Linked DNA regions of Notamacropus eugenii. The protein of the gene in region 1 purifies or fractionates together with the protein of each later gene. This does not show direct contact. Links are inferred from orthologs where the notes say so. Each region holds a gene or a part of one and is shown on either strand. Other genes may lie near its edges. The genes, in order: NCKIPSD and GEMIN2.

Evidence for each region.
Region 2: the proteins of NCKIPSD (region 1) and GEMIN2 purify together in Homo sapiens (co-immunoprecipitation; 3 studies listed by BioGRID and IntAct, counting the BioPlex papers as one, with this or other methods). This does not show direct contact. The link is inferred for Notamacropus eugenii from reciprocal best matches to the Homo sapiens genes NCKIPSD and GEMIN2.

The regions. Positions count from the first base shown.
Region 1 is NC_092872.1:7,812,491-7,819,913, forward strand, and holds the start of NCKIPSD (NCK-interacting protein with SH3 domain), read left to right. Parts: upstream 1-4,325; 5' UTR 4,326-4,427; coding exon 4,428-4,598; intron 4,599-7,423. UniProt on the Homo sapiens protein: Has an important role in stress fiber formation induced by active diaphanous protein homolog 1 (DRF1). Induces microspike formation, in vivo. In vitro, stimulates N-WASP-induced ARP2/3 complex activation in the absence of CDC42.
Region 2 is NC_092872.1:331,897,345-331,904,895, reverse strand, and holds the start of GEMIN2 (gem-associated protein 2), read right to left. Parts: upstream 3,222-7,551; 5' UTR 1-3,221. UniProt on the Homo sapiens protein: The SMN complex catalyzes the assembly of small nuclear ribonucleoproteins (snRNPs), the building blocks of the spliceosome, and thereby plays an important role in the splicing of cellular pre-mRNAs.

The DNA.
Region 1 (7,423 bases):
CTACTAGGCTTATACCTTAAAGAGATTAAAGAAAGAGGAAAAAGACCTATATTTACAAAAATATTTATAGCAACTCGTTTTTGTAGTAGGAAAGTACCAAAAACTAAGGAGGTGCCCATCAGTTGGAGAACAGATAAATAAATATGTTTATATATAATACATATATGTTTATAATAGAATACTATATAAGAATAGAAGAAACATATTTCAGAGAAACATGGGAAGACTTGTATGGACTCATCCAAAGTGAAATGTTTAGAAAGAACAATTTATGCTATGACGTCAATATTGCAAAATAGAAATATTTTGAGAGATTTAAGCATTCTGATCAATACAATGATCAACTATGTTTTCACAGGACCAATGATGAATAATGCTACAAGTCTTATGACAGAGAGTTGAAAGACTAATGAACTAATATGCAGAATGAGAGACATCTTTAAATATAGCTAATATGGGAATTTGCTTTGCTTGAGTATGTTGGGGATTTTGGGTTTATTTGTTTGTTTGATCAGGGGGAGGAGAGGTTAGAAGAAAAGAATAGATGCTTTATAATTGAGAAAATAAAATTTAATTTATAAAGAAATATTTGCCCCATACCTGATTCAAATTGTGCTATGAATCCTTTTTTTTTTGTCTTTCATGTTTATTATTTATTTTTAACATTTACAAAAATATTTGTCTTCTGAATTCTCTCTCTCCCTCCCACTAGAAGGCAAGAAATGTGATATCAATTATACATGTGAAATCATGCAAAAAATATTTCTATATTAGCCATGTTGCAAAAAAGCAAGAAAAACAGTGAAAAAATTATGCTTCAACGTACACTCAGACTTCATCAGTTCTTTCTCTGGATAGCATTTTTCATCATGGGCCCTTTGGAATTGTCTTGGATCACTGTATTGATAAGAGTATCTAAGCCAGTCACAGTTGATCATAGTACAATATTGTTGTTACTGTGTACAGTGTTTTCTTGGTTCTCCTCGCTCCACTTTGTGTCTTCTCAAGTTTTTCTTTTTTTTTTTTTATTTTTATTTTGTAATGTTTAACAATCACTGCCATACAATTGTGATTTTATCCCCCCACCTACCCCCAACTCCCCCCCTCCCTCCCCACGACTGCATACAATTCTGTATAGATTCTACATATACTTTCCTATTGAGTATATTTTCACTATAGTCATGCTATGTAGTCAGACTAAGATAAATGAAAGAAATCGTATAACAAATCAGAACATGATACACAAACACATACACATACACAAACATGATCTGCTACAATATGTGAGTGACTTCCATATTTCTCTCTCTGAGTGTGGCAGGCATTTTGCCTTGAGATCCTCTATTGGGATTTTTTTTTTTTTTTGGTAAGAAGTTCTTGTGTTATTACAAAAATCTAAGTCTACCAGAAAAAACTCTCACACACTGTGGTTGTTGCTGTGCATAAAGTTCTCCTGGTTCTGCTCCTTTCACTCAGCATCAGGTCATATAAGTCCTTCCAGGCCTCTCTGAAGTCTTCTTGTTCATCATTTCTTATGGCACAATAGTACTCCATTACATTCATATACCATAATTTATTCAGCCATTCCCCAATTGATGGACATCCCCTTGACTTCCATATGAATCCTTTTAAAATAAATTCCCCACTCCAACCCCCTAGGGAGATCTAGACATGAGACAAAACCTAAGCTTTAAATAATTTGGTCCCGTAGCATCAGAGTGGAGGTTTAACAAACCAGAGAGGGTGATAAAAGGAAGTTTTGCTCTCATATCATTAGATGCCATGGTTCTCCAGGACTGAACATAGTCTGACTGTGTGCACAGATCCAGAGCAGAGGAGTCCTTTAGAAAAATGAGTACTTCCCCAGCTCCTTGGTCCTAACAGCAATTGTTTGATTTTAGGTAGGATAAATGGAGGCACAGAGAAGTTAACAGTTTCCCGGTGGTCCTAGTTCTGTATGGTTCCCCTAGGTATAGAAATGTTCCTACTGATAATAATAATAAAAAATAGCTAACATTTATATAATGCTTACTCTGTAGCAGGCACTATGTAACTAAGCACTTTACAGTGATCTCATTGGATCCTCACAATAAGGTAGGGGCAGCTATTCCCCATTTTACAGACAAGGACACTGAGGCAAACAGAAGATAAATGGCTTGTCTAGAGTCCCATAGCTAGTAAGTATCTGAGGCTGTATTTGAACTCATCTTCCTGACTCTGGTCCAGCACTCTATCCACTGCCTCACCTACAGCTCCTTAGGATGCAATCGTCAGAACCATAACTTTGCTCCACTCAGGTCTGGACTCCTGTTAGAGAAACCTGCCCTTTCAGAGTGTGTGTGGCAAAAGAAAACAGGGATGCTAGGTGGGAGAACTTGTAAAGGGGATTTGGCTGGAGCTCAGTCAGTGTTTGCCCCACAGTTTTCTACACTGGGCTCAATTACTAGGGCATGTTCCCAGGGTGATACATGCAGAAGGTACAACTCTCAATCTATATCTAATTTCACTGTACTGCCCCTTCTCTCTACCCTGATATTTCTGTTAAAGGCACCACTATCTGCTCAGTCACAACCTCAGTCATCCTTAATTCTTTCCTATCCCTCGCTGGATCCATCCAAACATTGGCTAAGTCTTATCAGTTCAATTTCCACATCCCTCACATCCATTTCCTTCACTCTACTCACTTAACTCCACCACCTTAGCACAAATTTGCATCACTTCTTACCTGCAATATTGTCATCACCTCCTAACCAATCTTCCTGTTTCAAGGCTGTCCTTTATCCAGTTTGTCATTTACAGAATTTCTAAAATGATCTCCCCAAGGTAAGAGTCTGAATATGACACTTCCCTGGGGATCTCGATTCTAATATGAATTCCTTAGACTCTCTTTCAAGGCCCTCTATAATCTGGTTCCAGTCTACATTTCTAGTCTTGTTTCCACATTATTTCCCTTCATGCACTATATATCCTAGTCCAACTAGACTACCAACAATTCAGTCCTTCATGTCCTGCCTCATATATTTGCACAAGTTATCCACCATGCTTGGAAACCACTGCCTCCTCATCTCCTCAATTGAACAAGCATTTATTGTGTACACTATATGAAAGACACTGTACTAAGTACCCCAAAATAATCTCTGCCCTGAGGAACCTTATATTCTGGTGGAAGTATAACATTTTGAGATGAATTAAAGAAAAGTCCACATGTAATATTTGAGCCTTGGAGAAAGCTAGGGATTACAAGGGATAGATGTGAGGAAGAACGTTCCAGGCATGCAGGGCAAAGGAGATAGATGTATTCAGAAATACATCCAATAGTTTCTGGAAAGAAAGTTGGTAAAGGGTTTAAAGTGTATTCTTTCTTAGAGGCAATAATGAACCGCTGGAGCTTCTCAAATGAGGGGATGACATAGACCTATGTTTTAAGGGTACCAATGTGCTTTTTGAATCGCCTCTAAAAATCTTTTCAGGGTTCAGTTTTGGTGCCAGTAAAACCTTGTGTGAATGAATTGGATTTCACCTTGGTCTTGGAATCAAGAAGACATGAGTTAGAACCCTGCCTCAGCCACTTCCTAGCTGTGTTGTTCAGTTGTGTCCAACTCTTTGTGACCTTGTGAACCGTAAGCGCACACTCTCCATGGGATTTTCTGCAGCAGCTTGTCATTTCCTTCTCCAGCTCATTTGACAGATGAGGAATTGAGGCAAACAGGGTTAAGTGACCTGCCCAGGGTCACACAGCTAGAAAGTTACTGAGGTTACATCGGAACTTGGATGTTCCGGACTCCAGGCCTGGCATTCTGCCCACTGTGCCATCCATCAACGTATGACAGCAACAGGGAAGATTTCAATTCATGAACTCTCTGCACCGTGCCACCTGGCTGCGTGCCCTTGTGTTAATCTTTAGGTACCAGGGGTAACTGCCTAGGAGTCAATCCACTAGGACGTAGACTGGTTGCAAGAAATGCTGACATTTTATTTGGCTAATCGGTCTTATCCATGCCTTAGCTCAGGTGACGCGTCAGGGCTGTTCCCTGTGCTCGTGGGGGGCAGGGTGCCCTGTACCTGGCGGCAGCTTTCAGGGAGCCACGCGCGGAGGGGTGACGATAACTCAGTGTGGCACCTCCCCGGGGTCTGCCCCGGGGCACCGCGGCCCGGGGCTGCGCCGAAGCCCCCCGCCCAGGCACAGACGCGAGCCCCGGGGGTGGGGTGGGGTGGGGGGGTGGGGGGGTCAGGCTGTCGCGCGTGGGCCGGGCGCGCCCCGGGGGCCGGGCTCCGCCACGAGGGCGGGGCTCCGCGGGGGGGAGCGGGTCGGGAGCGCGCACGCGGTGGTGTCACGGGGCGGAGCCGGCGCGGCAGCCCCTGGACCCCGGCGTCCCCGGCTCCCGGCTCCCGGCCCCTCCAGCCCGCGGCGGCGGCGCCTAGGCCTCATGTACCGCTCGGTGTACGCCTTCCGCTCGTCGGAGCCCAACTCGCTGCCCTTCGGCGAGGGGGAGACCTTCCTGATCCTGGAGCACAGCAGCCCGCACTGGTGGCTGGCGACCCGGGCCCGCAGCGGGGAGACCGGCTACGTGCCCCCGGCCTACCTGCGGCGCCTGCAGGTCAGCGCTGCCCGCGGCCCCCCCCCGGGCCATCCCCCCTGCCCGGGGCCATCCCGCCCCCCCGGGGCCATCCCCACCCCGGGCCTGGATCGCTCGGCCCTGGGAGAGCCCCGCCCCCTAAGGAACCCCAAGATCGCGGCCACTGGGGAGCCTTCGGAGGGGCCCCGGGCCCAGACCTTGGCGGGAGGGGTCCGAGGAAGCTCTGGCCCGGGGCGTGCCTGGGAGGGGTAGGCTTGGCTTCCGATCCCCTCCCTCTGCCTGCTCGTCTGCCCCTGACCAGGGATGGCTGGCTTCTCGGGATTGTGGGGAGGGGGGTGGGATGGAGGGAGGACTGGCCTCGCCCCTTGTTCCCGCTAGTTCTTTCCCCACTCCCATGTTATCCCCCACATCTTAGGAAGGTGATGGTGGAAACCCCCTCACCCCCTTCTTGTGAGACTTCAGTCCCGATGGGAAAGGGAGGTTGACTCTGCCTTAGGGCCAGGAGAGGGGTGCTGGTGTTTGAGAAGGTTTGTGAGTTGGACTGGGAGTGCCCCTTGTCTATAGTGAGCATCGTTTTGTTCCCAAACCAGCTCTCAGGACAGAAATAACCCTTTAAATTTGGAGAAATAGCAGCTGCGGCTGGCTGGGCACTTCAGCCTCCAGTCTGAGGAACGGACCTTTTTCCACTGGGAAAAGTCAGATTTGTCTGTGAGATCCATTCCTGTTCTTGGAGAGCCCAGGTCTGAGGATGAGGATGATTCTTGCCTTTGGAAAGCCTAGGCCTTGATTCTTTAAGACAGAAACCTAAATGTGTGTGGTGGAAAGAAGTAGATGAATGGGTGTGCCAGTGATCAGGGTAGGCTTCCTGGAAGAATTCCTGTGTTTGGTATTGTGGAGGCAGGGACAGAAGTTTGACAATTCTATCTGACCTATTCATTTGGGGTTTCTCATGGACAATTGTTGGGGTCACCTCTGGTTCAGACTTCTGCCCCCTCATGTAGCTCTATGAGGTGTGAGGGGAGGAGGAATCTTTTACAATGGCCTCCTGTATAAGGCCTCTTCAGAGAAGTATACCTTTGGGTATATCATATAACATTTCTGGGCCTTGGTTTCCCCATTTTGTAATATGAAGGACTAGATGATTTCTAAGGTCCTTCCAGCTGTAACAGCTTATATATTCCCATGGCTGTCAGTGGCTACATACAAAGTCCCTGTCATGACTGACAGTATTTGTGAGATCCTGCTTGTATCTGTGTGTGCACGTGTGGCTTTGCATAGCTGCAACAGTGTCCCTGAACAGCTCTGTCAAAGGAATGTCATACAGCAGCCCCTCCCTGGGTAGGGATTTAGAGCTCTCCTGTTTGTCTGTCTGGGTCTTGGTCCGTGGGTCCATTTGGCGCCTTCTGGGGAAAACTGGAGTAGGTGGGGGAAGGGAAGGATATTCTTAGGGAGCTCAGGAAACAGGCAGACACCCAGCCCACTGGTGATGAGGTCAAAACTGAGCTGAGGAAAGGAGGGTTGAAGTTGGACAAGAAAGTCTAGATGATAAGACCCTAGCACTTGGATCTCCTTCTTAGGTGTCTCCTCCAGTGCCAGGGCAGAGGCCTGAGATACCTAGTCACTTCCTTTTCTCTCTTCTCCTCTTCCTTCTTCTCTATCTCTCAATGTCTCTGATTTAGGTCTTGCCAGCCATTAACTGAAGACAAAATTGTGAGACTTGCCTTGGGGGGAAGGGAGTGGGTAGAGGAAGAAGGGGAAACCAGGACAACTTTTTATTACCCTTGCTTTTGGGGTGTGTAGAGTGAACCAGGTTGGATCAGCCTTGGGGAGAAGGTTATTAGACGCTGTGGGATTAAGGGGGGTATATAAGAACCTCAAAAGGCTTGCGGTGCCAAGTGGTGCAGTGACTTCCCATGGTGTCTGAGGGATGATAGGAAGTGGCACTACTGAGGAGACCTCTTTTCTACAGGGCTGGTCTTTATTCCTTTTGGCAGTATCTCTTGGGGATCCTGGGGAGCCTTTCCGAAGGGCTTCAGCCTGTTCATTGCTCTGGGTGGGGCAGCTAACAGGATTTCCAGATGTTTCTTTCTGACTTTGGTTGAGGCATTCTGTACTCCTGCAGGTCTGACGTGAGCTGTCGCATTCATGACTCTGATCTGTGACATTTTAATAATCATGGTGATGATAAAATGCTCTATAAATGTAATTTAATGTTAACAAAGCATTTTCTTCTCAACAGTCCTAGACTAAGGGATGCACCTAGCAATGTTAGCATTCCAGGCTCTGCACTGTGAACCTGCTCAGTCCTTGTTCTGAAAGACAGGCAAGACTCAGCACCCTCTGCTGTCCCTGGCTCTCCCATCCTGGTCTTGCCCCTCCTGTGCCAACCTTGGCTCCCTGGATTCTTCCAGGACATCTTCCCATTCTAAGCTGGGTCACCTACTGAACTTCCTATCCCCAACCTTATTCAGTACCTGTGGGACCAGAGTGGTTCTCCCCTCAGAGTATGGCCAGGATAGGACTGTACTAACCTTTATAAGGCAGCTTCCTTAGGAGGCAGTGTGATGTGATAGAGAGAGCCCAAGACATGGGCGTCAGGAGAAATGAAGCTCTGCTACTTACTAATGGAGTGACTCTACCAAATTCCTTCCCCTCTCTGGGCCTCAGTTTTTCATCTGTAGAATGGTGAAGATGGCGTTTGGGCTAGATGGCCTATAAGGTCCCTTCCCTTTGAAATCTTGCGCTCCCATGAGGATGTTCCAGGACAATAAAGCGTAAGCTAAAGTCCAAAGGTGACTAGGCTGCCAGACCCAGGAGAGGCCTTGTCCTCTTTTCTGAGAGCTCCT
Region 2 (7,551 bases), about 320 Mb from region 1:
TACCTCACAGGGTTATTGTGTGAATATCAAATGAGATAATATTTGTAAAGCATTCAACACTAAGCCTGACACATAGTAGGTGTTATATTATAATTTATACTATTTTGATAGTTATTATTAATTATTTCAGTGTAATACATGTTCAGGTGGGTCCTACTAAACTGAAAAGACTCACCTGACAGACTGTATTTCTTGTTTGAAGTCCAGCCAAGCTAAATTTATGGCAATTACTAGGTTGGTGAGTAGTGATGAATTTGTGGGCCATAGCAATTTTTGAAGATAGAATATTAACTTGTAAGAGGGTTTCAGTGGTGAAGAAAGTATACCTACACCATTGTAACCACAAATCTGTTGAGTATTGAAATGACATACATGCATGGTGACTTTAGTACTGCTGAAAAAGCAACGTGGTTTTTTTTTTTAGAGTACTTGAGGGTTTCCTGGGTTCCTTGATAATTTCATAGCCTATTATTTGAAGTAATTCACATGCTGAAGGGCAAGAACAGCTTTAATAAAGTTATGTTTTACTTTCCTTCATGTTGTATGGATTTTTTTTCCCACCTTTGCATTCTTCTATGCTATTTCCTCTTCCTCTGTCAACATATATCAGGACAATGCTGTTAAGGTACAAATGTGGTGATCCTAACTACCTTAGTTAGTGAAAAGACTTGTTAAAAATTCTGTGTGCTCCCAAACAAAATATTTTTATTCAAGTGAATTCTTTCAGAAAGATTTATGTAATGAGGCTGACTTGATTTGGTTCACAGGGAAGATAGAATAGATACATCTCCAAAGGCCCTTCTCCAAGGGAGATTTCATTTCTTGCCAGGGGGGGAAGCAGGAGGTTAGAGGAACAGAGCCTGACTGCTCTGATGTTCTTAGAGTGAGGGAATACCAGGCTAGACTTATATTAAATATTATTAGCCTAGGAAATGGAATTTTTAGGTTCAAGCTAAATTCCTAATTGCTATTCATTAATGGTGAAAGAAGGACCCCAAGTTTAATATCCAAGACTTGACCCTTTTCCCAGCAAATACCAGTTCCATAAGGAATATACAAAACAAAAACAAACAAAAATAAAAACCCACCTTTTGAGCTGATAGAAAATATAAACCAGAGAAGGTATACATATGAGAAAAGATACTTCAATAACACAGACTGAAGGAACTCTCCCATTGGATCAAAGTTCTATATGTCACCTTCTTGCCAGAGTCTTTCTTCTTTCATGGTCCCTAGGAGAGTTCCTCACGTGGCTTCTCTCTCTACACTGGAAGCTACAAGTAGGAAGAGACTGAAGATCTCTTTTTTCTCCCCTGTCTACAACTGTCCCCTCATGTATTCTCAGGGTATTGATCTCCACAATGAGGAGAGAGTCCCATACCATTGGGTTCTGGGATTCAAGCTTACATTCACACATCCTTTTTTTTTTTTTTTTTTGCAAAATAGATTTTAGTTCTGAAATAATATGAGTAAATGAAAAGGATAGTTCAAAACTGATATTGTAGGAAATCATGTGACCTAACATAATATGCTTAATTCCTCACTGTCTCCCCCCCTTTCCCCCACATCCCTTCAGTTGCCAAGCCTTGTTGATTTTACCTTTGCACTATCTTTTGTATAGGCCCACTTCTGTGACACTGCCAATACCCTGGGCAGGTCCTTATCATTTCACACTCAGAATAGTCTTCTTGTCTCTGTTCATTCCAGTCTCTCTTCTGCTCCTCTGTCAAATTGTCTAACCATGTCATCATCCAATAAGCTACAGTGGCTCCCTGTTAACTCCAGTATCAAAAATACGTTTGATTTTTAAAGCCTTTTAGAACCTGGCCCCTTCTTACTTTTCCAGGCTTCTTATATCTCACTCCCCTCCACACATTCTATGATACCATGAGATGGACCTCCATGGTGTTACTTTCAAGAGACACTACAGCTCCCAGCTTGATGCATTTTCACTTGCTGTCCCTCATGCCTAGAATTCCCTCCCTCCTCATTTCTGCCTTCTGATTTCCCTGGCTTCCTTCAAGTCCTGGCTAAAATCCCATCTTCCTATTATCATGAGTCTTTTCTCAGAATCCCTTTCTCTGTCTCTAGACTCAGCTCTAGATAGTCCTTGTTTAGTACTGTCTTGGTCTTTCAGAAAGAACATGGACCTTTTCCCTAGAACTGACAGAGGTTTTTCCAGTGCTTCTTCCCTGGAGCCTTAGTTTTGATTTGCTGTCACTCAGCAGGAGGTGGAAAAGCAGGGTATTCTTGGCAAACTAGTGAATTTGAGATTTACTTCTCCTTTATACATAATTGAGAACTCTTGGTAAGAAACTTAATGTGACTATTCGGTACATTTCTTACATCTTCATCTCTATAAGCTAGGCTGTTACCAGGAAATGGCTGTTTCCTTAATGTAGAATTCAGGGTTCCCTAGTTTTTTAAAAATTCTAAATACAGACAGTTCTCACTTTACAGAAATAGATCATTCCGTGGACCTCTGTGTAAAGTGATTTTTATGTAATGCGAATTCCCCCCCTCCCCAGCCTATATAGCAGAGGCATATACAAAATAATTTGTTGCTGTTTAATCATATCTGATTTGTCATGACTACATATGGGTTTTTCTTGGCAAAGATACTGGAATGGTTTGCCATTTCCTTCTTGAGTGGATGAAGGCAGACAGAGGTTAAGTGATTCACCTAGGTTCACTTAGCTAGTGAGTTTCTGAGACAGCCTATGACTTCAGGTCTTCCTGACTCCAGGCCCAGTGCTCTATCCATTGAGCCACTTAGCTGCCTCCAAGGCAAACAGAGGTTAAGTGACTTGCTTAGGGTCACACAGCTAGTAATTCAGATATACCTGACTCCAAGTCTAGTATTCTGTCCACTGAGGTCTAGATACCTCCTACAAAGTAATACCTTTATGCAAGTCATAAAATATACTAAAATGTAGACATAATAAATACAGTGCCATGATAATGAAGAGCAATGAAATGACAGGAAAAGTTAATGATAAAGTGTGTACAGCACTATACAGTAAAATTAATATAGGTATACAGTATGTTGCCCCTTCCAGTTGGCTGTACAACTTTTTAAAAATAAAATTATTGAGAGATGTTTAGTCAGTGGCTCTTTTCTTTTCCTTGTATGTTTGACGGTTATAAGCAATATTATCTTCAACTAGTCTTTGAACTTAAAAATCTCAAAGTATTTGGCTCCATCTTTGCAAAGCAAGAAAAAAAATTCACTCAAATTATGAAATACTTCAGCAAGCTGTTTCATTGTGAATCTTTTTGGTTTTACCTTAGTTCTGAAGCTTCCCCTTCCTCTTCTGCATTCTTTGCAGCTAGCAGCTCAATCAAATCTACATTCAATATTTCTTCCCTATAAGATTCAATCAACTCCTCCACATGTTTCTCATCTGCTTCTAGCTCCAATTCTTGTGCTAATTTTACAATATTGTTACTCACTTATTACAGTGTTTCATCTTTGTCAAATTCATGAAAATCAGGAATAAATTAGTCATACTTTTTAAAAAAACTCTTCATACATGTTTCTGTTATATCTTATCATTCCTTAGCAGTATTTCAGGTTGCATGGTAAATATTATAGGACTTCCAGAAATCTCTCAATATGAAGTGCTTATCTGCATTCAAAGCTTCAGTTGCCTGGGCAAATGAATGTGTAAACAGTATGCCTTGAAATTTACAATCACTCCCTGATCCATAACTTGAAATAGGTAGTGTTAGGGGGAAGGCAGACCATTTAACATTTTCATTAAAATCATCTAGATAGGGAGGATGACCTGGGACATTATCCAAAATAAGTAGAATGTTGAAAAGAATGCCATTATTATTATAAAACTTCTCCACTTCGGGAGTGAAGCAGCGCATAAATCCTCATTCAAAGATGATAAAGGTTATCCATGCCATAGGGTTAGCAAAATAACGCACAGGTAGTGTGGCTGTGCTGATTCCTTTCAATGATCTGGGATTTTCCAAGAGATGTATGTACAAGAGCAGGTTTTAATTTGCAAGTCCCAGATATGTGCCCTCCAAGCAGAAGAGTAACTCTGTTTTTTGAAGTTTTATGCTCCAATATAGTTTTTTCCCTCCACCAAGATGTAGATTTGAGATATTTGATACAATAGGCCAGTTTCATCTATACTAGGCCTGCACAACCTATGGCCTGCCAAAGGATTGTGGGTGGCCTGCAAAAAATGTAGAGGCTACATTTCACAGGCACCCAGAATCGTTTGGCAGGCTTGTGGGGTTGTGCCGGCCAGGTCTACATTAAAGATTTGCTTGAGCAAGTAGGGATCATCATCTATTATTTTTTGCAGGAAATCTGGAAACTTCTTTGCTGCTTCAATATTTGCACTAGCAGTCTCTCCTGACACTTGTACATTATGAAGTCATGCAAGATTTTTAAATCATACAAACCATCTGCTTGCTATAAATGCCTGTGTTCTTTTATGGTACTTTACTTTTAAATCTTCAAAGAGGTTTTGAGCCTTGGCTTGAATTTCACCAGACTCAAAGGAATATTCTGATTCTGGTCTTCTATGCACATAGTGAATAGTTTCTCTATCTCTAGAATAGCATCTTCTCTTTGTTTTGATAGATAAGTCAACTTCATGCAACCCTTTGCCTTTTGCAGTGCTTTATTTGGGCATCATCTTTCACTATGGTGTTTATAGTTGACACTGCAAGACTAAGTTTACATACTATTGATGACAATTTTGGCCTCCATATTTTATAATTATTTTCATTTTCCTTTCCAAATCTATTTGCTTGCGCTTATGAAATGGTTCACTTTTCCCCCTTAAGACTGACCGCATTTGTTACCAGTCATGGTGAAAGTGTAAGGATCACTATTGAACACAGGGAGAGAGGCACAGCATAACCGTATACAGACACATGGGGACAGACTTAAGATACTTCTCAGCTTCCCACCACCATTTATGCTGTTTGTATCATACTAACAGTATCTACTTTGCATAAGAAATTTTCTAATTTTTTTGTCTAATTTTTTTCGAATTTTGTTTTTCAGAACTCAGTAAAAGTTGAGTTTGCAAGAGTTTTAAAAATCTGTAATAGCCTAAGGGACTCAGTTCTTGAATATTTTGTAATCCAATGGAAGTTTTTGTGGGAAGACTGGCCAATGAGGGCCCAATCCTTAAGGCATGCTTGAATTTACTCTTCCTTGTTGGTTCTATTTCCATTCAAGTTGTGGAGCCTAGTGATTAGGGGACTGATTCAAGAATTGCTGTGAGCCATTGGGGGAGTGGGGGTGGGAGAGGCAGTAGCAGTAGATGCCACCCTGTCTTTCTGCCCAGCCACCACATGTCCTTGAATACAAACCTTTCTCTTTCCTACTTTGTTTTTATTATTACTTACTAGTATTCTTAGAAGTGAATCTCCAGGCAATCACTGTGTTCAGAGAGCCATCAAAGAGTTCTTGCCAGCAACCAGAGCCATATCACTTCGTCAGCAGTGGTGGCCAAGTCTGGTAAGAATCAAGCATAGCAGCTGTTTGGCCCAATCCAGCAATGGACTGACATGTCAGTCGGCAAACCATGCTGGCAAGGAATCAGCCTAAATGAGCAAGGGACTGACTCATCTATCAATGATACAATGCCCAGAAGCAAACCTGTTGGGGACTCAGAGAGGAGAAAAGGATTGCTCACACCAGTACTTCCACATTATGGCTTTCTCCAGCTTGGTTTAGATATATAACAGGTTGGCATAAGAAATTAAATGGGAAATATTGGGGAATTTTGTGGAAGCCACAGATGACACGTGAAGGCTGGCAGACAACACAGAAAAAGTTTAGAAACTCAGAGATGCATAAAATATATGTATAGTATTGTGTATCAACATATTTTATTTTTTAATACCATAATAATTCAGACTTCTTCTCTTTTACAATGAGAGGGCCAAAAACTTTTACACTTATTTTCCAGATCTGGGGGAGTGGCACTGTTCCCCTAATGCCAATGATGTGGAAGGGATAACTGTACTTGTAAGGTACCTCTGGATCCCACTTGTTCCCTACCTGTGTGCTTCACACCTTTGTGATCTAAACTTGAGCACATTCTCTTCAAGGACTATGCAGAGAGGAGAGTTTGCTTTGGAATTGGGGAATTGCTTTGTAACTTCTGTCTTTGCTATATCTTCCCATTATAGAGGAATTGATACCAATTGATTGGTAGATACTGGGGGGCACAGTGGATGGGGGCTCATGGGCGACAGTATTACAAATCCTAGCCCCTCAAGGTCACTCCTAGAATCCTGAGGGGAGTAAATTCATTGCCTTCTGGGGAACCTAAACTGCTGTCTAGTGTGAATTGGGAGAATTAGCAGAGAAAGGGTGTTACAGAAGTACTATAACTTTGAGACTTCCTGAACAAATATTGGCCTTTGTTTTGCAAGGCTTTTGTTTGTTTTACAATGGATTTAGCTGGCAAAAACTTGTCTCTAGAACCAGGATGTAATCATTAGCCCTTTCACTGAGAGATGATGAAATAGTACTTATGAGCTGTTAACTAGGCAGTTGAGCACTGTAGAGAGACCCTGCCTAACTACAAGAAACCTAGCAGAATTTCCATGGATAATTTGTCAGCATAAATCTGAAAAAGAAGAAATAAAGGAGACAAAGTCTTAAACTTTTTGACAGTCAAGCAGTGCAAGATTCGGTCGTGATATTTTTTTCTTGACATTTTGTAAGTGCATTTTTTTTTTAGCACTGAATAATATATTAGCATATTTTTTCCTTTTTTTTCTCTCACTGGAAACTAGGAAAAAGTAAAGAGGAATATCTATTTACAAGACTAACTGCAATATACAATGGCTATTGAACTAACAATGGAATTCATGCAATATGTGGGAAAACATATGGTTCACAGGAAAAAGAAAAAAATGGTCAGAATAGAGCGCTTGTGTTCCCAAACCATAATAATGAATTATTTTTCAAAAAGGTAAGTAACAATTTATTTAAATGAATTAGCAATTCTGAAAATTTGACATGATTTTGATTCTAATATTGAGAGAAGACATAAATATATTATATCAGTAGTGTATTACAGAGGGGTGATAAATTCATTTTACAAAATTCAGAAAGACAACTGATGATGGTTTGCTTTTATGGGCTATTGTAAATGACCTTAAGGCTAATGAAAGAATTTTATTGTATGCTTGTATGAGTACCCAGACCTTTGGTGAAATGTGTCTTGCAAGGCAATGACGACAAATGGCTACCAAGAGTAAGGCTTTTGGGGACGTTGAGTATGGCTGACTGGTTGAACAGTTATTGGAGATCATTGCTGTTTGTCTCTCACTGATTCCAGTACTACCATTGATTGATGGCTGTTGTCTATGGATGCTAAATGAAAACCTATCCTTCTAACTAGCCAGAACTATGCTAGCTGGAACTGCATGAGGGAAATGCAGTTGATAGGCTGATGTGCAGTCTGTGGGGAGAATGGAGAATAATGAAGGGAAAGAGGACAGTTTCACCCTAAGTACAATCTTTCCTGGAGGGTGGGGGCTTTCTGAATCTGAAGAACA